Linked DNA regions of Arabidopsis thaliana. The protein of the gene in region 4 interacts with the protein of the main gene of each other region in a pairwise test. Each region holds a gene or a part of one and is shown on either strand. Other genes may lie near its edges.

Region 1 (4,466 bases), on a different chromosome or scaffold from region 4:
AGGCAAACAGCAAGCATGTACAAGAATTCTAAGAAGAAGATTGAGAGAGGTGTTGCGTTCCCTACATGCATTTCTGTGAACAACACTGTTGGTCATTTTTCACCGCTTGCTAGTGATGAGTCTGTGTTGGAAGATGGTGACATGGTTAAAATGTAAGTTGTCTTCAAGTAATACCTGTTTTTAGATGTTTCTGTATGATTCACCTGTGTTATTTCTGATGTTGTTTTGCGTTTCTCAATTGCAGCGATATGGGATGTCATATTGATGGGTTCATTGCCCTTGTTGGTCACACACATGTTCTTCAAGAAGGGCCTCTTAGTGGGCGTAAGGCTGATGTTATCGCTGCCGCAAATACTGCAGCTGATGTTGCTCTAAGGCTCGTACGTCCTGGAAAAAAGGTATCATCAGTTTTACTCTTACATTAAACTTGAAACTATAGGCTTTTGGTACTATAACTGCCTCTTGAATGATTGTCAAGGTTTTACAAAACCCAGATGATGAACACTTAATAAATGGCTATGGATTATTATCCATATGATGCTTTTTTGTCATAGTTACTCTGATGGGATTTTTCTTATTCTGATTTTTAGTCTGATCCCTCGTTGGATTTACTATGAGATGTTGGAACTTTGTCTAAGGTTTTCCTCTCTTGGTCTTGCACGATGCTTTTTTTTTTTAGCGGACTTCAAATGTAAATTGTTTTGGGAAAAGATTTCTGGATGAAGACCGTAATTGTTATGGATTCGCATCCAAATGAGGCCGTAGTTACTCTGATGTGGGAAAGTTCTTTAAAATAAAGTTTCTTGCTACGAGTTTGTAGTTTCTTGTTTAGTACTACAACATATTGCAATCAAGACATTGATATTCTGTTTTTCTTATCGCAGAACACTGATGTAACTGAAGCTATTCAGAAGGTAGCTGCAGCTTATGACTGCAAAATTGTTGAAGGTGTTCTTTCCCACCAGCTGAAACAGCATGTGATAGATGGAAACAAGGTTGTGCTTAGTGTATCCAGCCCTGAAACAACTGTTGACGAAGTGGAATTTGAAGAGAATGAAGTCTATGCAATAGATATTGTGGCAAGTACTGGTGATGGCAAGGTAATTTCTTTTGTTTATCGCATCCCGATCACTATTGGTGAACCTTTGTCTATTGCCATTGTTCTCACAATCTTTGACTTTGCAGCCAAAGCTATTAGACGAGAAGCAAACAACTATTTACAAGAAAGATGAAAGTGTTAACTATCAGTTGAAGATGAAGGCCTCCAGATTCATAATCAGCGAAATTAAACAGAACTTCCCCCGTATGCCATTCACTGCAAGGTGTCTTTTGTACCTTCTGAAGCATTTTATATTCCTTAAACTATTATCTCACTTGCTAACGTTACCTGAGAGTATTATCAATACAGGTCACTGGAGGAGAAAAGGGCACGGCTTGGACTTGTGGAGTGTGTGAACCATGGTCATTTGCAACCATATCCTGTTCTTTACGAGAAGCCTGGTAAGGATGATGAAAGGGTTTTGAATCTATAAACCTCTTTTATCTGAATCTTGATATCAAGGCTCATGTCGTTTTGGTTTTCTACCAGGGGATTTTGTTGCTCAGATTAAGTTCACAGTTTTGCTGATGCCAAATGGATCAGATAGGATCACTTCACATACACTTCAGGAACTTCCTAAAAAGACCATCGAAGACCCTGAGATCAAAGGGTGGTTAGCTTTGGGCATCAAGAAGAAGAAAGGTGGTGGAAAGAAGAAGAAAGGTAAGAACTTAAAATAAATTTCCAGACTTTTACCTTATATGACGTGATCCACATGTTGATTAAAAAGGTTCAATTTGGTGTTTTGCAGCCCAAAAGGCGGGAGAGAAAGGAGAGGCTTCAACAGAGGCTGAGCCAATGGACGCAAGTAGTAATGCTCAAGAATGAGTAGGAAGATTTGTCTTTGTTTCTTTTAAAGAATTTTTGAAACTTGAGGTACCTCTTTCGTTGTATGTTTGGGTTTCAAGAGAGTCTCTTCTTAAACAAAAAAAAACAAACAATAGTTTACCACCTTTGTGCATATTTTTGCACAAAGCACTTTTCATCATCATTTCTTTGCTTGTCCTAATCTTATCTCATTCTCTAATCAAAAATACTTATCTGGTTTCAGGCTATAACAATAACTCTGTTTAGAAACACTTGTTACCAACAAACTACTCTTTGAATGTGTTTACGTGGTAAGGATTTGATCCCACAGAAGAGAAATATTTGTGACAGAAGAAAAAAACTCAGCTCTTCAATAATCGAAGCTTATACAGATTTTTGGATTGGTTGATTTTGAGATTGTAACGAATAGTAATCAGAATTTCACTTAAGAAATTGTGATTGAACCCTCTAAACCACAGAGAGGGTTCTTGACGTGGTCCATAGTTCTTCAGTGGGGCGGCTTGTGGCTTCTTTTTCATTTTTCCAGAAAACCCCATAAACCTCTCGCTCTCGGGAATTTGATTGATTCCCACGAGGAAAAATCAATCTTCCCGGAAAATGGCAGCTAGGTTATTGTTCCGTCGAAGTTCTCAAATCCTCCGATCAATTCAACGAAATCCTCAAATCTCATCGTCATTCGAATCACCACCTTGCCCGATTTTTCACTCATTGACCACCGCCTCACCAGATCCATCGCGATTATCATCCTTAACCTTCCTCCGATCTCTCTCCATCGCTCGTCGCGGTCCAACACGTCCTAAGAAAATCGATATCGGAGCCAAAGCGCGTCAGATGCAGAATCGCCGTTTATGGACCTACGCGCTAACCTTCAGCTGCATCGCCGGATTCGTAGTTATCGTCCTTAACCAATTTCAGGATCAGCTTGTCTTCTACCTAACGCCATCAGACGCTATGGAGAAATTCGCAGAGAATCCAACAAAGAACAAATTCAGACTCGGTGGTTTGGTTCTAGAAGGTAGCGTTGCGCAGCCGGCGGCGTCACAGGAGATGGAGTTTGTGATCACTGATCTGATCACTGATATTTTGGTTAGGTATAAAGGATCTTTGCCGGATCTGTTTAGGGAAGGTCATTCAGTTGTGGTTGAAGGATTCATTAAGCCGTATACAGATGAAGTAAGGAAGGAAGTTTCTACAAAACCTATTTCGAAGAAAGCTAGGAACCTCGATTGTTTCTTCTCGGCGACTGAAGTTTTGGCTAAGCATGATGAGAAGTATATGCCACAGGAAGTTGCGGCGGCGATTGAGAAGAATAAGAAAATTATTGAAGCGGCGGCGACTGAACAAGCTGCTGAAGTTGCGGCTTCTTAGATTGGTATAAACTTCATTCTTTTTAAGTTAATCAAAATTTTCCCCAAGTTCGAGCTTTTGGTGAGTATTGTTCATCTTATAAGGTTATATTTGATTATAGTTTCTGGAAAAGAGTAGGAAGATTGGAATGTTATATTCCTGGAAAACAGAGATTTGATTTTTGAGTCTATTTGAGAATTAAGTGGAGAAATGTGATACACTATACAATAGCTTTGTTTGATTCCACAAAGCTATAAGCTAATCTACTTTCTTGTTGTGTTGATCAAATAAAGAACACTTTGACGAGGGATCAAATATGCTGCTTGATTCATTGTGTTGTTGGATGTTTTGTTTGTTGTTGATGTGCACACAGATTAGAGAAGCTATGTTTTGTTGCTGCACACAGATTAGATTGATCTAGTGAATCTTATTAGCTTCATCAGGTCGTGGGTATATAATTGTAAACGTATCACCAAAGTTGTAGCTTGTGTGACCTTATTCTTATCATGACTAGGTACTATAGCCAAAAGAGTTGAACATACAGGTCTTTCAGAGCTTCCTCTTAGTTGTTCTGGAGGTTCCAAGCTCTTTCTTTGTTGTTTTATAAATATGGGTTGAGCTTGTTGACAATCTTGAAGATGGTCATGCATTCCTTTTATGCATCTTATGTTTCAACTAGGCAATTCTGGCCCTGGAGATTTCAAGTTTGTACTTTCTGAGTCGATTAGGTGCCTAGTTTTTGCCTCTAGAATCATGGCATTGGCTTCTGTTTTGGCACTTCTCTTAGGCTTGTTGGTTGATAACCAACTACTAGTCTACTAATGTAGCTGTAGTTTGAAGTGTTCCGCAGTTACGCTATTGCTTTTGCTTTTTTTAAGTGCATCTTTATATATGCATCAGTCTCTCATTGTATAGCAAATTTATCGTGGGTGGTATATGATTCAGTCAACAAAAACTGACTATCAAGTATGGAACGAGTGGTATATGATTGAGTCATCAAAAATACTGACTATCAAGTATGGAACAAGAGCATTACGATATTTGTCACTACTATATTCGATTGCTATTGTGTGCTTGGTCCATTTTGAATATGGGACAAATCACCATTACTATACTTGCTGCCCTATACTAACTAGATTATTCCATATTCCTCGTAGATAGTTTTTGTTTTTTGGTTCAGAGAAAGTTCAGA
Region 2 (6,592 bases), on a different chromosome or scaffold from region 4:
AAAAGATTATAAGCTGTGTTCTTGTGATTGTTGGTTATTTAGCAGACTTGAGTAATTATAAAGACTCAGTTTTTATGATTTGTTTCAAAATGTAGAACTATACAAACAGCTGTTGGTGCTTTTGGAGGAGAAGAAGATACTAATGGAGCGGATGCAACACCGTTAATGGTGGCTAATGCTGGGAGCAGCGATCGTCCTGCGATTTCTAGCTTAAATAGTCCTCCTTTCCTTGCTGTTGAGCTTTGCAGGGAAACTATGGTACATAAGTTGTTAAGGAGTTTGTTAGTATAGATGAGTGAAGATCACATTGTTAAAGATTGTTTTTATGGATGCAGGGTGATCATCCTTGTGACAGGCGAAGAAGCGTCACTGAGTACAAGGCTCTCTTTCCCGCTATTGATTTCTCAATTGTAAGAAAAACATCTTATATGGTTAATATATATCTCTGTGGAAATGTTGGCAAGTTGCTTATGCTTTGACCTCTATGGTTTTAGATTGAAACCGACAATGATGTTCTGTGGAAGCCGAGTCCAAGAGAGAGCCTTGAAGAAGTTGCAGCCAGAGGTGTAGAGTTCATCAAATGGTGAGTTTCATTTTTGTTACTTATTTCCACATGGAGATATATGTAAACATATGTATAGCTGAATCTCTCTACTGCCATTTGCTTTGTGAAGGATATGGACAAGGAAAGAGAAGGAGATCGCAATTGTATCTCACAGTGGCTTCTTGCACGGTCTCTTGAGTTCTTTCGGGAAGGATTGTTGCGATGACCTAAAGAAAGAGTTGTCTATACAGTAAGAGCTTAAACAAAAACTTGATGTCTACAAGCACCAACAATTTGTATAACTTGAAACTGTTTAACTAATCAACATCTTTAACTTTGTTCAGTTTGAGCAACTGTGAGCTTCGCTCAATGGTTATCGTGGATCGAGGGTAAGCAATAATTACAATAAGTTTTGACAGAATATAAATATAATTTGAGAGTGTGTTGGATTATTTATTATGGTGTTGGGTGTGTAGGAACCTGGGGACTGACTCTGCAGAGACCACAAACTATCCTGGGAAGGTTCCTGAAGGACTTGATAATCCTAGTGGCTAAATGGCTGAAGAGTAAGAGAGAGAATTCTGAGATAGTTTTTCTTTCTAAAATAAATAAATTACATGATGTTTCCATTGGACTAGAATCTGGCATTTTCAGTTATTTGATGAACATTAGTGTTGGTATGTAGCCATGTAGGTTGACTCTGCTGCTACATGAATTTATTGTATGATTGTTATTATCCAAAATTTAGCGGTAGCTTTAATATTTCTGCTCCAATTCTCATTTTAGCTGTGATTATACAATTGTGGAAATAATAGCATTACAAGTAGAGGAACTGGTAGATGCAACTAAATTATAAGTGTGAATCTTAGATGAGTAGATTTATCTCTATCAACATGAGAACCAGCAGAAACTTAAAACATTATTTATGTAAGATCAACTTCATATTTTATGGCAGCTGTGTTGAATTTTCTTATGGCCAAGCATTTTAATAAAACAAAGAGAAAATTCCAAAAATTACACTCAGCTTTTCTTATAGTACTAGGTTTTATCTTTTGGTGTTGAGATTTTTTATGAAAATAGAAAATGTTTTAAGTGTTTTTATAGAAGTAGATCAAAGTTTAATGCTCTTCGTACGTTCTATGTATTTGGACTTTAATATAATCGATAATCGTATTCAGATTCTTTATAGAAATTACGCTCTCTCCAAACTATTGGAGAAAGCTTTTACCATTAGGAATTCGAAATTTTTTGTTCCCCAATTTTGAACATATGATAAGATCTTTTAAAGAACACTCGACAATGTAAAATTTAAAGTAGGTCTAGCTTCTTATCCGTTTAAGAGAACGATTTTTTTTTTTAAATGATATGATTCACGGTTTGTAAAGTTATCTATTGGAAAATAAAAAAACTGTAAGTACAATACTGTGATGTCAAAAAGAAAAAAAAAGTACACCCAAACTAAATTTGTACCACGTGCGAGACAAATTGTAGTCTGCGATCTTACTCACTACCCGACAATGACATGCCCCATGCCTTAGTTCTTGTAAGAAAAAAGTGATATCCTATATACTTCACTAATTATTGGTAAAATTATGCAAAACTTTCAGTGCTAAAAGTTTGATTTATACTGTACTAGTTGTTATTTCAACGTAGACATACCAAAATGTTTATTCAAGAAAGCCTATATACTAGCAAAAGTAAAAAAGAATGTGACATCTTTGATGAACCAATGTGAAAAGTCAACATAATAAAACTTGAGTTTTCAGAACAAATTTAGTTGTCCATTGTTTCGATCTGTTAATCAAGACCATAAATTAACTCTTAACTATATGCATCTAATAATAATATTTTGTAGTTAGCTAAGTTAAGCACATCCAACTCTTAAAAAAAGCTAGTATAACGTTAGGCTTATAATCATTCTCTTAATAATAAGTTATCCTAAACAAATTATTGCAATTTTTTATTCTCCCTACTTGCACTAAGTATCATTACACCAGTAAAAGATGATGATCCCTTAAATTAATACTAATTAAACAAGCAATTAAGGAATGAAGAAGGTGAGACGAAACCGCGTAAAAGACCTTTCTTCTTTGCACCATCCTCTCTCCTTCATCATTTCACAAATCCACAAAAGAATCAATCTTTTTAACACTCTCTAATGATTCAACGAATCCAATTACCCAACCAGAAACAGCAACACATATAGAGATATATACTATTAAACAATAACATAACAAAGAAACCATTTTTTCTCTTTTGTTATTGACTTAAACAAAAACTATCAACGAATAATTATCCTTTTTTGAGTTTTTCCCATTTCTTCTTCGTCTCCATTTCATCGTCTTCTCGCTGTTCTGCTATATTCCGGTACTAGATCCTCTGTTTTCTCATGTTTCTTTTATTACCAAATGATTTCTTCATTTATTGTTGTGTCTTTGATTCTTTTTTGGGATCTATAATGATCGATGAACATTTAAAGCTACGACTTTTCAGGAGCTCTTGTCTTTTTTTCTTTAATCTTTGATTATGTTACAAAACAATTATGTTTTTTGAAGCTTGATCTGATGTGGGTTCTTTGATTTCGTTCCAAAGTTTGATACTTTTTTGGCTTCTCTTTATCTGATTTTTTTTGTGTATGTTTGTTCATGAAACAGTTTCGTTGGATGAGGAGAAGAAGAAAGTGAAAAAAGTTGTGAAATAGAGAGAGTTTGTTTCATGGGCAATTCATGTCGTGGTTCTTTTAAGGACAAAATCTACGAGGGCAATCATAGTAGGCCCGAGGAGAATTCCAAATCCACCACCACTACTGTTTCCTCTGTTCATTCTCCTACTACAGACCAAGATTTCTCCAAACAGAACACCAATCCAGCTCTTGTGATTCCTGTTAAAGAACCCATTATGCGGCGTAACGTTGACAATCAATCTTACTATGTTCTTGGTCACAAGACTCCTAACATTCGTGATCTTTACACGTTGAGTCGTAAGTTAGGACAAGGACAATTCGGGACAACGTATTTGTGTACTGATATTGCCACAGGTGTTGACTATGCTTGTAAGTCTATATCCAAGAGGAAATTGATATCTAAAGAAGATGTTGAGGATGTTAGGAGGGAGATTCAGATTATGCATCATTTAGCTGGTCACAAGAATATTGTTACTATTAAAGGAGCTTATGAGGATCCTTTGTATGTTCACATTGTGATGGAGCTTTGTGCTGGTGGTGAGTTGTTTGATAGGATTATTCATAGAGGTCATTACAGCGAGAGGAAAGCTGCTGAGTTGACCAAGATCATTGTCGGTGTTGTTGAGGCGTGTCATTCTCTTGGTGTTATGCATAGAGATTTAAAGCCTGAGAATTTCTTGTTGGTTAATAAGGATGATGATTTCTCTCTTAAGGCCATTGATTTTGGTCTCTCTGTTTTCTTCAAACCAGGTAAGCGTTAGTTGCGAGTTTCTCATTGTTCTGAATCTATTTAAGTACCATGATGTGTTTTGTAGTATACATTACTGTGACTTTCTATTCATCAAATGAGTAAGGGAATGTAAATGTTTCAGCTTTGCATAATGTGTAGTCTTACTCTAATATCAGGCCAAATATTCAAGGATGTTGTTGGAAGTCCATACTATGTTGCTCCTGAGGTTCTTCTAAAACATTATGGTCCAGAAGCTGATGTGTGGACTGCTGGTGTTATACTCTATATCTTACTAAGTGGTGTCCCGCCTTTCTGGGCAGGTATGCGGGCGATATAGCTGTTTCAATGCGTTCTCTTAATTAGTGCCATTGACAAGGTTTCCTGAAGTTTGGTTTTGTGTTTTTGAAATCAGAAACACAGCAAGGAATATTTGATGCTGTGTTGAAGGGATATATTGACTTTGATACAGACCCGTGGCCTGTCATATCCGACAGTGCTAAAGATCTGATCCGGAAGATGTTATGCTCTAGTCCTTCTGAACGTTTGACTGCTCATGAAGTCTTGCGTACGTAATCAATTACACTTAAATAAATGGTTACATTTGGCAGCCACACAACATTAGACTATATCTCTTGTATGTATCTCTTTTTTTTTCAGGTCATCCATGGATCTGTGAGAATGGAGTTGCACCGGATAGAGCACTTGACCCGGCTGTTTTGTCTCGTCTAAAACAGTTTTCTGCAATGAATAAATTAAAGAAGATGGCTTTAAAGGTCAGTTTGTAGTTATACTCAATCTTCTATTGTCTCTGCATCACATTCGTTTGAGATATGTTTACTCATATTAGTGATTATGGAATGATCAGGTGATAGCTGAGAGCCTCTCAGAAGAAGAGATTGCGGGTTTAAGAGCAATGTTTGAGGCAATGGATACTGATAACAGCGGTGCAATCACTTTTGATGAACTCAAAGCTGGCTTGAGAAGATATGGATCAACCTTGAAAGACACCGAGATCCGAGATCTTATGGAAGCGGTAACAATGCATCCTTTTGAGATATGCACACTAGTTCATTTCGCTATATAGATGACAATAACCATACTCTCTGTGTTGTATCTTAGGCTGATGTGGACAACAGCGGTACAATAGATTACAGCGAGTTTATTGCAGCGACGATCCATCTGAATAAACTAGAGAGAGAAGAGCATCTTGTCTCTGCATTTCAGTACTTTGACAAAGATGGAAGTGGTTACATCACCATTGATGAGCTGCAACAATCTTGCATTGAACATGGGATGACCGATGTTTTTCTTGAAGACATAATCAAAGAAGTAGATCAAGACAACGTAAGCTTTGCCTCTTGACATGATTCTTCCACTCTTCACCATTGGTGTTTGCTAATAAAGTTTTGGTTTTTGTTTCTTACAGGATGGACGGATTGATTACGAAGAATTTGTTGCGATGATGCAAAAGGGAAATGCTGGTGTAGGGAGAAGAACAATGAAAAATAGTCTAAACATCAGCATGAGAGATGTGTAGGCACATACACACATCTTTAAATCGTCTATTCGGTGAGGATGCAAATGTTTCCATGGAATCAACATTTGCAATGTTTAATCACAGAGGAGGAAGAGAAACCAGATTCATAGCTGCAGCGAACCAGCTAAATCGTTGAAGGTTTGAGTTAAAAATGTTAAAAACTACTGTATGATTAAAAAATGGTGAAAGATAAAAAAAAAGTGTTAAGTTCTGTTCATCAGTAGCTGTGAGGACTATTTCTATTTTCTCTCTCTCTGTTTTGTTTGTTTGTAACAACTGTTTAAGTTTGGTTTTTATTTCATCTCCATCGTCGAAAGCTTTGACCCTTTTTGGGTTTTTGAAAGATCAAATCATCTTCCAATATAGTACAAATGTGATATACAAGTTGTGTGACAATCTTCCACCTTTTAGTTGTTGTTGCTGTTGTTAGTACACAAACGCATACTCTTCACTTTGGTTTGTTAAACTTTTTAGCTCGGCTTTGGTCGTCTTTTCTCACATGCATACTTCCAAATTGGAGTCATAGCGACAACATTAATACAACTAGTCAACTACTATGTTACAAGTTTCTGTCCACTAATTTCTTTCTCTAATTACATCTGAATCTGTAAGTACATAAACATGTATGTACATATGAACACATGAGTGTGTGTATATACACAAAAATTTATGTAATAAAAGAGCAATAATTGATGTAAAATGTGGAATACTGTATGATGATAGCTACTAAGTCTCAATCATGTAATCAAAGTGATGTCTTAGAACCAAACTTAAGGTTGTTCGAAACAATCAATCATACATTGGTCCCAATGTGGTGGATTGGAACATGACAGGGAAACCATGTGCTCCCACTTATTTATATATATGCATCGTATGTTCGTATGTATTAATGTATATACATTTCACACCACATGCAGTGAGTTATTTATGTCACCTTTTATTTAGTTTTCCGAAAAATGGTGAAATAGATTGGTCAAATTTCGTCTACAAAGTAAATTAAAAAAGATCATTAAATCAGTCGTTACGAGAAAATAAAGCACATCCTCATATATCAAAGATTAAAAATATAATAAAACTAAACAATACATGTACGCACAC
Region 3 (5,149 bases), on a different chromosome or scaffold from region 4:
AATTACTATATTATTCCTACGAACATTGTGCGCGGTTACTTGCTCTGCCGTTGATTAAGAAGGATAGGATCGTCATTTAGTATAAGAAATATCGATATTGTTAATTTATTTTGTGAAAGAATGTCGAAATTGTAATTTATTTGGTGAATCGATAATAGTTTGGACCATAACACATCTTATTCACACCTTTTTCTTTTTCTTTGATTTTTTCGTTATTTTGTATTTCAGCTCATTTAGAATATTTCAATATATATTTTAATAAAATTGTTTTTGAAATTGAATTGGTTAGGTGAGGAATGAATGATGATCAAAAGAAGCACGAGAAGGATATGAGAAAAATTTATTACCTTACTTTTCCCAATGGGACTAGTCGATTTTTAATGATTTAGACAGGAAGTTGTATCATTTTTTAGCATTTATCTGTGCTTCGAAGTTCATGGTTGATAAATGGTATGATCAAATTCCATCTTGAGAGACTGTGACATGCACCTTTCTTTTGTCCAGAGACTTCTAGATTCGAAAATTATTAGACATTTTTCTTTCTTCATAAATCTTTTTCACCATTATCATATGTCTATATGATACGACCTAATATTAAGATTTTTTACTTAGCTTAGAATTGACCTAAATTGGTACTTTTGGGCTGTGACACTATTAGTGATGAAAGAAATTGAGACGTCAACTATAATGCGCATTTTAAAAGAAAGTAAGACAATGATTGGAACAAATGACTTGCCAAGTAAGTGAAAGAGGACAAAGAATGTTTTGTTCCAAAACAAATATCTGAGAGACAAACAAACACTGGAGATATCATTGAGCACAAACACGCATTGGTTTCCTTTAGGTACACGTCTAAAGTTTAACGAAACGTCGTAGCTTCAAGTTTTACAAATTGATCTTACAAATTTACAGGTTCCTATATGTTCCCTGAGGATTAAGAGAGAGTAATAAATCAGGCTTTGTCCTTCATTTGAATCTTGACAAAGTCTTTTAATCTCTCCTCCTTCCCTCGAAGGATGTTGAATCATGTAGCATCTAACGAGTGTGTAACCCAATACGCAAGAATCTGTGAAAAAACCTGCAAGATACACGAAAAGGATGTAATGTTTAAAGATTGTTTTAGAAAACTTGGAGTTCTGATTTAGAATCTAAAATATCATTTACCTGTCAATGTTTCTTGAGAGTTTCTGAAACCGCGGTTTTAAGTTCTCAAGATGAATACTGCAAGGGTATAAACAAGGAATTTGATTCAGTTATAGAGAGTAGAGACTGTCATGGAACAGTGGTGTGACATAACTCATGAGAACCAAGAGAAGGACTCACATAGAAGAATCAAGATTAGCGTTAAGGAAAGAATGAGCTTAATAGGGCGGCTCAATGGAACGCGAAATCGTCTTTGATAAACCTTGACTCTGTCAAAGAGCTGCAAAATGATAAACAACTAAGACTTATGATCCTTTCTAATAGTGTAGAGATGATCCAAACTGCAGAAGCTTACCTGGTTATAATCACGACATCTCTGCAGCCAAAACATAGGTTTAGCTCCTTTCTCTTTAGGAGTGTCTTCAATATGTGATAGGAACTTCTCCCTCTCTTCTTCTTTTGCATTAACAGGGACATTAATCCTCAACGCACTGATATTTGGTACATTTGGTGAACTCCATGTTCTTCTTGTACCGCCTTTTTTATCTGCACTTTCCGGACTTCCTATGTCGTCAATGTCTATCACACAATCAGGACTGTCGCCATAACATCTACCCTCTCTTCTGCCATTGATCCCACGTGGATTCTCAGCTACAGAACTCGTTGAGGAATCTCTCAAGTTGATGCTATCACTGTTTAAACTCTCTGACGTCTGAGAAGATCCAGATAGAAACATGGCGAGATCATCACGCTCTTCTTTGTTAAGATCCACCCAACGCAAAGGTTGTTTCCCATTCTCGCTTAACGACTCTAGCAGAGTAGATTCCACTTGATAAATCTGGTTTTCAATAGCGGTAACAAACTGTTTATGCCTAGTTAAGGTAGTGTCATCTCGACAATTTCCATGGCTTAAGCTCACTGCCCTCTCAAACTCTTCCAACTGATTCAAGTCACAACAATATAACCAATATCACTAACACACTCATGAGTAACCATGAAAAAAAAAGGGAATGATCAAAGGACCATTGATTGTTTCATACCTGCCATTTAGCAGTGCTCAAAGCAGCTTGGAGTTCTTTGCAGAGCTCGTCTGATTCTACGGATACTCGACCGTCTCTCTTCTCTTTAAACCACAACCTATACGCAGATTCCATTCTGGAAATACAACACAAATAAGAAACAAAATTTCAAATTTGATAACTCAATTCCTTCACAAAACACAAAGGTTCTCACTTAGACCATTCTAGAGCCAATTAGTCCCCTAAACAATCGAAATACCCTATTTTTCAATTGAAATTCCGAATTCCACCATCACAAGCAACATGAGTCAATTAAACAAACAGAGAATCAAAAAACACATACATATCAGCAGATTCTTGAACCTCCTCAGCTGCAGAGAAAAAAACATCCTTTTGCCATAGATCGAAACTATTCGCTACCATCATCTTCGAAACCACACCTAAACCCTTCAAATTAAAGACCAAAAAATCAACCCGAAAAGATTCGTCGGAATAGATTCTCTCTCCGATTATAATCCAAAATTAGATTCTGCTTCCTTCTCTTCTCTTCTCTTCTCTTCCTTTTTTGCCTTCAGGAGGAAAGAAGGAATTTTTATTTTTTCTTCCTCCAGCTTTCTGTTTTTATTTTTTATTCCTTAAATTCTTCGATATTTCTTTGCTTTCTTCACTTTAAACGTTAATGGAAGATTTTAATAAAGAGGCCTCTCTGAACTAAATTGACCATATTTCACACGTGTTTTATTGTAATTGGGAAATAATTTAAAGTAAGATGGTCTTAGCTGCAGGAGATTACCGCTTGTCAAAGAAAAACATCAAGAATGTCCGTGTTGTTGTTGGGCCTACCGGTTTGCCGCAACATCAATTGTTCGCCAACCGCATTATATTATTATTATTATTCTTTATTTTAATACTCTCTATACAAGTCAAATGCTAATGAGTAAATAAATTCAATAAAAACTCAACGCTAATTTTAACTTTTAGTTTAGTAATAGACAGTAGGAGCAGGACAAATTGAGGTGGCATGTGTAGCGCATGTGATATCAAAATTTTAACTAGTTAAATTGAAATTCATAAAATGAAAACATGTTTTGGTGTTTTCAGTTTTGGAGAGACATGTTTTGTTAAATAAATTTAATTAATTAGTTGTTGTGATATGGTGAAATACCACCTTCTTCAACAAATCCCAACCTTGATTTTGGTGTTTTCAGTTTTAATTAGTTACCAAGACCTGTTTTTGTTCTTATTTAGACATTAACCGGTGGTAGATTCTAGAGATTGGGCCCATAATATATATATATATTTTTTTTGATCAAAAAGATTGGGCCCATAATATAAAACAACTTTTTTCTGATGCAAATCTCTTTGGGTAGGATTGGGCTTCACTACTACAATATGTCAAAAATCAGCGGTCAATATTATATTTAGAAAAAAAAAAAGAACGGATGGATTTTTCAGGTCACTTCTAGTTTGAAGTCAAGTGTTTGATGTGATGATTCTTTAAATGTCACTTCTCGAGTAAATTGTTTTCTTGAACTATAAATTTTGAAATTTACAGGTTTCACATATAACCTGTATAAAAAAGGGTGTGACACTAACCAATTTACAACACCCAAAGTCCAAACGCCAATTCTCTTTTATCTCTTCAAAACAAACGTAACCGACACGAAAATTTGAGACAACATATACAACAACAAAGTGGCAATTTCTGCAGCATTAGTAGATACAAAAGCCAGTTTAGTCTCAACTCTCATGTAGCAAATCTCAGAAGGTTAACTTTGGACAGTGCCTACTTTTGACTTAAGAGTAAACCAAAATGGATAACGTTATATTATATGGTAACTAATCATATATTATAATAATTTTGACTAAACAAAACGGATAATTAAAAACACACAAGAACCACCATTAGATGATGATCCTAGGATAAACAGTCTCTTATCATTCACTTCTCCTTCTCATCTTCTTCTTCTTCCTCCTCTCGAAACCCACAAACCTCTCTGTTTCTTCTATTAGGACTATCCAAAGCTCTCTTCTCTTGTTCTTCCTCTGCTTCTTCTTCTTCTTCTTGACCTTCCTGTTTCTTCTTCTTCAATCCAACACTCTTCCTTCTCTTCACAACTCTCTCCTTCAACACACTCACAATCTCCCTCACCGCCTTCTCCGCATCACTCCTATTCCTAATCAACACTTCACTAACATCAGCCGGAGTAATCTCTGCTTCCTCCACACATTCTTCCATCTCCTTCAAAACAACACTATCCATATCTTCTTCCTCAAGCCTCAGATAATTCTTCAACAGAATCTTCAAAGCCGGAAACTTACAAAAACCCATGTGAACATGCATATCCATCCTCCCACTTCTCATCAGAGCAGAATCTAACTTCTCTATATGATTTGTCGTGAACACAAATATCTTCTCACTCCCACAACAAGACCAAAGCCCATCTGTGAAGTTCAATAGCCCCGACAGAGTCACCGAGCTTCCCGGTTCCTCCAAACCCGACCCGTTTGTCAAACCTGGATCATATTCATAGCTCCCATTCTTCTTTTTGTTCTTTCCTCGTTTCGTCAAACTGATAGAACAATCAATGTCTTCGATGACAATGATAGACTTAGAGCTAGTCTTCATCAACAGCTTCCTCAATTCAGAGTTGTTCTGAACCTCAGTGAGTTCAAGATCGTAAATATCGTAACCAAGGTAATTCGCCATTGCAGCAATCAAACTCGATTTGCCAGTTCCAGGTGGTCCATACAACAAGTAACCTCGTTTCCAAGCTCTTCCCGTTTTCTGATAAAACCCTTGTCCGTTCGCAAACTCCCTTAGATCCTCCATGATTCGCTTCTTCTTCTCAGGATCCATAGCCAGAGTATCGAACGTGCTTGGATGCTTGAATCTTACAGAATCCCATGGATGGCTCCTCGCGTCGAGCGAAACACCTCTTGAGTTCGTGTAAAGCAGTCTCTCCTCGTTTCTCCGACGAATCTCC
Region 4 (4,955 bases):
TACCAAAACTCTCTGTACTTTCAATTGCGTAACTAATGTTGAGCCCCTATCAGAATTTGATCACTATACTATATATTGTGTGTATCTAATCAATGTTCAACAGGTTTCGTGGTGTAGTTGGTTATCACGTCAGTCTAACACACTGAAGGTCTCCGGTTCGAACCCGGGCGAAGCCATTTTGCTTTTGTAATAGTATAGACCAAATGTTTTAGATAATGTTTCGTTGTCACGCGGGCCCTATCAGCAACTAGCTTTAGTTTCACTGTTTTTGGCCCACTAAAATTGGGTCGCACATGGAAACAAATGGTTCCTACAATATTGTGCCCTACATAATTTATTCTGGTAAACGTAAGAAGTATTTAAATCATATAGAATTTTGAATTCCAAGAACATGTGAAATGTTATGTGCTGCTATAAACTACTCTCAAATAATAAAATCTCACATTGTCAGAGATGAATTATTATATACTATGTTTTTTTCTTACATTAAAAATTGATTGCTTTGTAGTATTAAACTAAATAGTAATGGTTAGACAGAACATCAAACTTCAAACATTTTGGTGTAATTTCTGTTGTCTGGTTTTTTTATTAGGGAGCCATACATACTTTTTTGGTTTTAATTTATGAAGGTCGATACATAATTATTTATTTAGTCTAAACTACTACATAAATAAAAGGATTAGCTTTAGCTAGTGAATTAGTTGATTTGATGATATCATAAGTATACGTAGACATTCATCATTCTAAATGTTTCTTACTAAGTGACGTGCTGTAATCATTTATTATCATTCATTGGATTTTGTCTTACGGCAATTTACAAAAGGAGTCATTTCGTTTTTTTAGGGAATGCAAAGAAGACAGATAAAGTGAGCTGGTCCTTCTAAGTAAAGATAGCTCTTACCTATTACACACACTCGTAGAAAATCATGATTTCTGTGTTGCATCTTTCATATTTGGATTCCTTTTCAGTGTGGGACATTTTTTTTTGTCAACGAACAGTTTCTCTTTTTGTAATTCATTAATATGGCTCTTATCAAATTTATTATCCACCATGTTATTTTTTTCCTTTCGCATGAAGGATATATTTGTCGAATTCACAAAAGTCACCTAACAAAATTATTATCACCTTAGATATTAGCAATCGCATGCATGATCAGTGGGAAAAATGGCAAGTAATGAACGTATAAAATAATTTAATCTATGCAATGCGATAAAGAAAATATTTTGCAGAAAGTAGCAAAGAATAATGCATTCTATTGGCCAAGTCCCCTTTTCTCGAATTATAATATCCCTTTTATAATCTATTTTGTTACCATAATTGGTATTGAACTTTGAATGACATAACAAATCTATTAATATATTTAGATGACTTATATAGTCAATTAGTCATTTCGATGATAAACACAATGCGTGATTAATGCTGATGCAAAAGAAAAATCGCGTTATTTACTTCACAGATCTGATTAGATTTTGGTATTTGTGACAACCTTTATTAAAATGTACGACCTCTATTGTCAAATGTAAATAGTTTCAAATGCTTCTTTGAAATCTAAACATATATAATCAACCCAAAAAAGAGAGAGTCTAAATCTGGTCAACACCGACGCATTTGTTTTGATGTAACCATATATAAATGTGACTTATCCAACTTTGTTAGTTGAGATTTTTTAATTTTTGGTGTGTTCTGGAATGTTAATGTTAGGCTAATGTGTGTTTCAACTATTGCTAATATTGTATTAAGGGACAATTATTAAAAACAAAACTTGAAAAGAGAGGCTAAATAATTAGTGAGTGGGGTTTGTATGTAATTACAAATTAGGCTGCGTCATAGAGGATTGCTTCCATCGGATCTCAAATGTGGACCTACTACCGACACTTCTGACTCATGCTTAGTCTCCGAACACAAGACTTCGAATCTTAAAATTAATTTTCTTAGATTTGTCTTTTTATTTATTTTTCTTTTATTTTTAAATATAACAATTCCCTCCAACTATAAGATCCAACGGCTGATATCATTCTAAACCTTTACAGCTAAATCTGAATCTCCACCGTCCGATTAATCATCTTCCTTCTTCTTCTTCTTCACTCACTCAGATCTCAATCCCCACCGAAAAAGATAAAAACTCACACTTTCTCTCTCTCTCTCTAGAAAAAGAAAGAAAGAAGAAAAACTTATTGTTATTCCCATTTCGCCCCTATCCGAAAAATGGTTGAAGCTCAATCATGGACAACGCGGCGGATGAGCAATCCTAGATTCGACGCCGCCGCAACCGCCGCACCAACCATCGTAGACATCCCCGGAACACCACCACACTCCTCCGCTTCTTCACCACTCAAACCCTTCTTCCTCTCTTCCCCCACCGTATCACCAACAATCCTCACGGCGGCTATAATCGCCGCCTGGTTTGGCTCAAATATAGGAGTCCTCCTCTTAAACAAATACCTTCTCTTCTACTACGGTTTCCGTTACCCAATCTTCCTCACCATGACACACATGTTATCATGCGCCGCCTATAGCTCCGCCGTAATCAATATCGCCGGAATCGTGCCACGTCAGCACATCTTATCTCGCCGTCAGTTTCTAAAGATCCTCTCTTTGTCAGCGATCTTTTGTCTCTCCGTCGTCTGTGGCAACACTTCGCTACGTTATATCCCTGTTTCTTTTAATCAAGCTATTGGAGCTACGACGCCGTTTTTCACCGCCGTGTTCTCTTTTCTCATTACTTGTAAAACAGAGTCCACTGAAGTTTATTTAGCTCTTCTTCCGGTTGTCTCCGGCATCGTTCTTGCTTCTAACTCTGAACCTTCTTTTCATCTTTTTGGTTTCCTTATCTGTGTTGCTTCCACCGCCGGTAGAGCTCTCAAATCCGTCGTCCAGGTATTAATCGGTTTGGTGTATTGAATTTTCCGTTTTAGTACTAAGAGAATCAGAAATTGCGTTCGAATTTCGATTTTATTACAAAACATCACTCTTAAATTTTTCCGAATCCAGGTTTATTATAACAAATCTGGAAGAAATTTAGTTCCAGTTCGAATCCGGTTTTTATTCTTAGAACTGAAATGAGTCCGGTTTAGTTCAGTCTCTGTCTGAATTTCAATCTATAGCATTTAAACAGATAATTCAGATTCTAATCGATCGGTATGATCGAATTGCGTCTATTGGATCTCACTATTGGTTTGGTTGAACCGGATTTTGTGTATTTTGTAGGGGATTATTCTGACGTCGGAATCGGAGAAGCTACATTCTATGAATCTTTTGCTATACATGGCTCCAATGGCGGCTTGTATCTTACTACCATTTACGCTATACATTGAAGGAAACGTTTTAAGAGTTCTAATCGAGAAAGCGAGGACGGATCCATTGATCATCTTCTTGTTAGCCGGGAATGCGACAGTGGCATATTTAGTGAATTTGACGAATTTCTTGGTGACAAAGCATACAAGTGCTCTCACATTGCAGGTTTTGGGGAACGGAAAAGCTGCGGTGGCTGCCGGAGTCTCGGTTTTGATATTTAGGAATCCGGTGACGGTGATGGGAATAGCCGGATTTGGTGTGACGATTATGGGTGTGGTTCTCTATAGCGAAGCTAGGAAGAGATCCAAATTGCTAAACCAGAAGTGAAAAGTGTGAAGAGAAAGATTATTGGATTTAAACCGGTGAAGTAATTTTTACTTTTTAATTTTTACTTCTTTTTTTTCGGTTTAGTTTCTTGATTCTTTGGAATTCTGCTATTGTTTGGAACCGGTTTGGTTCGTTTTGAGAGGGGGAAAATCAATTTAATTGTAAATGGTTGAGATTGGGGAAAAACTATGAAAAGAAAAGTGGAGATATATTTATGTAACAAAAGTGAAAAAGTAGGGAGCATAATTAAAGGAAATAAGATTGTATCTTTATTTTATTTTACTTTCTTTTAGTTTTTTCTTTTCTTGTACTATTATGTTTTATAGTTTGTCTTACCAAAATTATCGAAACATAGTGAGGAAAATAGTCAAAATAATAAATTTCTTTCTACTTTTGATTCGAGTCTTTTCTGTTAGGCGAAATCGCATTTTCATCTGGTGGGTTAAATTTACACCTTTCTTAAGCAACTTGCTCTTTTTTTTGGCAACTTGCTCTTTTTTTTGGCAACTTGCTCATTAATTCACTTGTAACATATTGTTCTAGATCATGTATTCTTATTATGATTTGGAATTATTATTTTGATCTAAAACCTATTGAGCTTAGCATAAGATATCGTTCTTTGTTACAAAAATGTTAGGCACACACACATTTTTATTGATTAATATAATTGGGTAATCAAGCTATTCTCAGCTGAAGCAACCTGACATCTAGGATTTAATCAGTATTAAATGGGTTTGAAAAGATGATGATATGTTAGCTAATGTAGGTTAAGTTTATCTTTAGACTTACTTGTCAAGGTTTGTTAACCTTTTAAGGTGGTAACACTACGTAATAGTTTAATTAGGTTTCTATAAGTAGTTATAGGACTGTTATATTACATGTTTCATTTGATATATGTACACCAATCTAAGTTGTTGTGGTCTCATTCTCATAAATTGCATATAAAAAAGTAAAGCATTTTGGAACGAAATTCATAGAAAAATCTCTTACAAAGAAGAAGAATATATGCCATTCATATTTCTGCACATATGTTTGGTTGCTTTAATCTTTCGACCCCTTTTTCCAAAATGTTAGTATTATATGTTAAGTTTATAAGTTTTAACCAAACAAGAGAGCAAAAAGCAATCGAATTAACTAAACCGAACCGGTCCAACTTAACGGACTCAAATTATGTTTTGTAGACAGAAGAGCAAACTGACTTTGGTTTGCATTTGAATCTCGTGACTAATGGGAACGGCCTTGTTTTTTTTTCTTTAATATCTTCATTATCTTCATTCTGCTTCCAAAAGAGGAGCTATGGCCGTTTCTTCTAAGGTTCCCGATTGGATGTTTC

The links.
Region 1: the proteins of AT1G12500 (region 4) and G1 interact in a protein complementation assay, tested with the Arabidopsis thaliana proteins (one large-scale study listed by BioGRID).
Region 2: the proteins of AT1G12500 (region 4) and CPK6 interact in a protein complementation assay, tested with the Arabidopsis thaliana proteins (one large-scale study listed by BioGRID).
Region 3: the proteins of AT1G12500 (region 4) and AT4G30240 interact in a protein complementation assay, tested with the Arabidopsis thaliana proteins (one large-scale study listed by BioGRID).

Annotation. Positions count from the first base shown.
Region 1 is NC_003074.8:19,208,722-19,213,187, reverse strand, and holds G1 (transmembrane protein G1P-related 1), read left to right. Parts: upstream 1-2,338; 5' UTR 2,339-2,524; coding exon 2,525-3,295; 3' UTR 3,296-3,673; downstream 3,674-4,466. Other genes in the region: ATG2 (metallopeptidase M24 family protein), read left to right, coding at 3-152, 245-398, 885-1,100, 1,186-1,322, 1,409-1,500, 1,562-1,762, 1,851-1,927. UniProt on the Arabidopsis thaliana protein: Heme-binding chaperone that may be involved in cytochrome c maturation in mitochondria.
Region 2 is NC_003071.7:7,513,746-7,520,337, forward strand, and holds CPK6 (Calcium-dependent protein kinase family protein), read left to right. Parts: upstream 1-2,584; 5' UTR 2,585-2,911; exon of another isoform or gene 2,912-3,110; intron 3,111-3,198; 5' UTR 3,199-3,259; coding exon 3,260-3,977; intron 3,978-4,133; coding exon 4,134-4,277; intron 4,278-4,369; coding exon 4,370-4,522; intron 4,523-4,614; coding exon 4,615-4,730; intron 4,731-4,822; coding exon 4,823-4,990; intron 4,991-5,076; coding exon 5,077-5,301; intron 5,302-5,383; coding exon 5,384-5,494; 3' UTR 5,495-5,917; downstream 5,918-6,592. Other genes in the region: AT2G17280 (Phosphoglycerate mutase family protein), read left to right, coding at 96-258, 336-410, 495-583, 675-794, 889-933, 1,021-1,099. UniProt on the Arabidopsis thaliana protein: May play a role in signal transduction pathways that involve calcium as a second messenger. Functions in abscisic acid (ABA) regulation of guard cell S-type anion- and Ca(2+)-permeable channels and stomatal closure. Phosphorylates FD.
Region 3 is NC_003075.7:14,807,158-14,812,306, forward strand, and holds AT4G30240 (Syntaxin/t-SNARE family protein), read right to left. Parts: upstream 2,919-5,149; 5' UTR 2,589-2,918; coding exon 2,506-2,588; intron 2,299-2,505; coding exon 2,184-2,298; intron 2,084-2,183; coding exon 1,499-2,083; intron 1,424-1,498; coding exon 1,324-1,423; intron 1,222-1,323; coding exon 1,202-1,221; 3' UTR 1,165-1,201; intron 1,079-1,164; 3' UTR 732-1,078; downstream 1-731. Other genes in the region: AT4G30230 (uncharacterized protein), read left to right, coding at 1-1; AT4G30250 (P-loop containing nucleoside triphosphate hydrolases superfamily protein), read right to left, coding at 4,105-5,149.
Region 4 is NC_003070.9:4,262,209-4,267,163, reverse strand, and holds AT1G12500 (Nucleotide-sugar transporter family protein), read left to right. Parts: upstream 1-2,007; 5' UTR 2,008-2,206; coding exon 2,207-2,878; intron 2,879-3,208; coding exon 3,209-3,622; 3' UTR 3,623-4,014; downstream 4,015-4,955.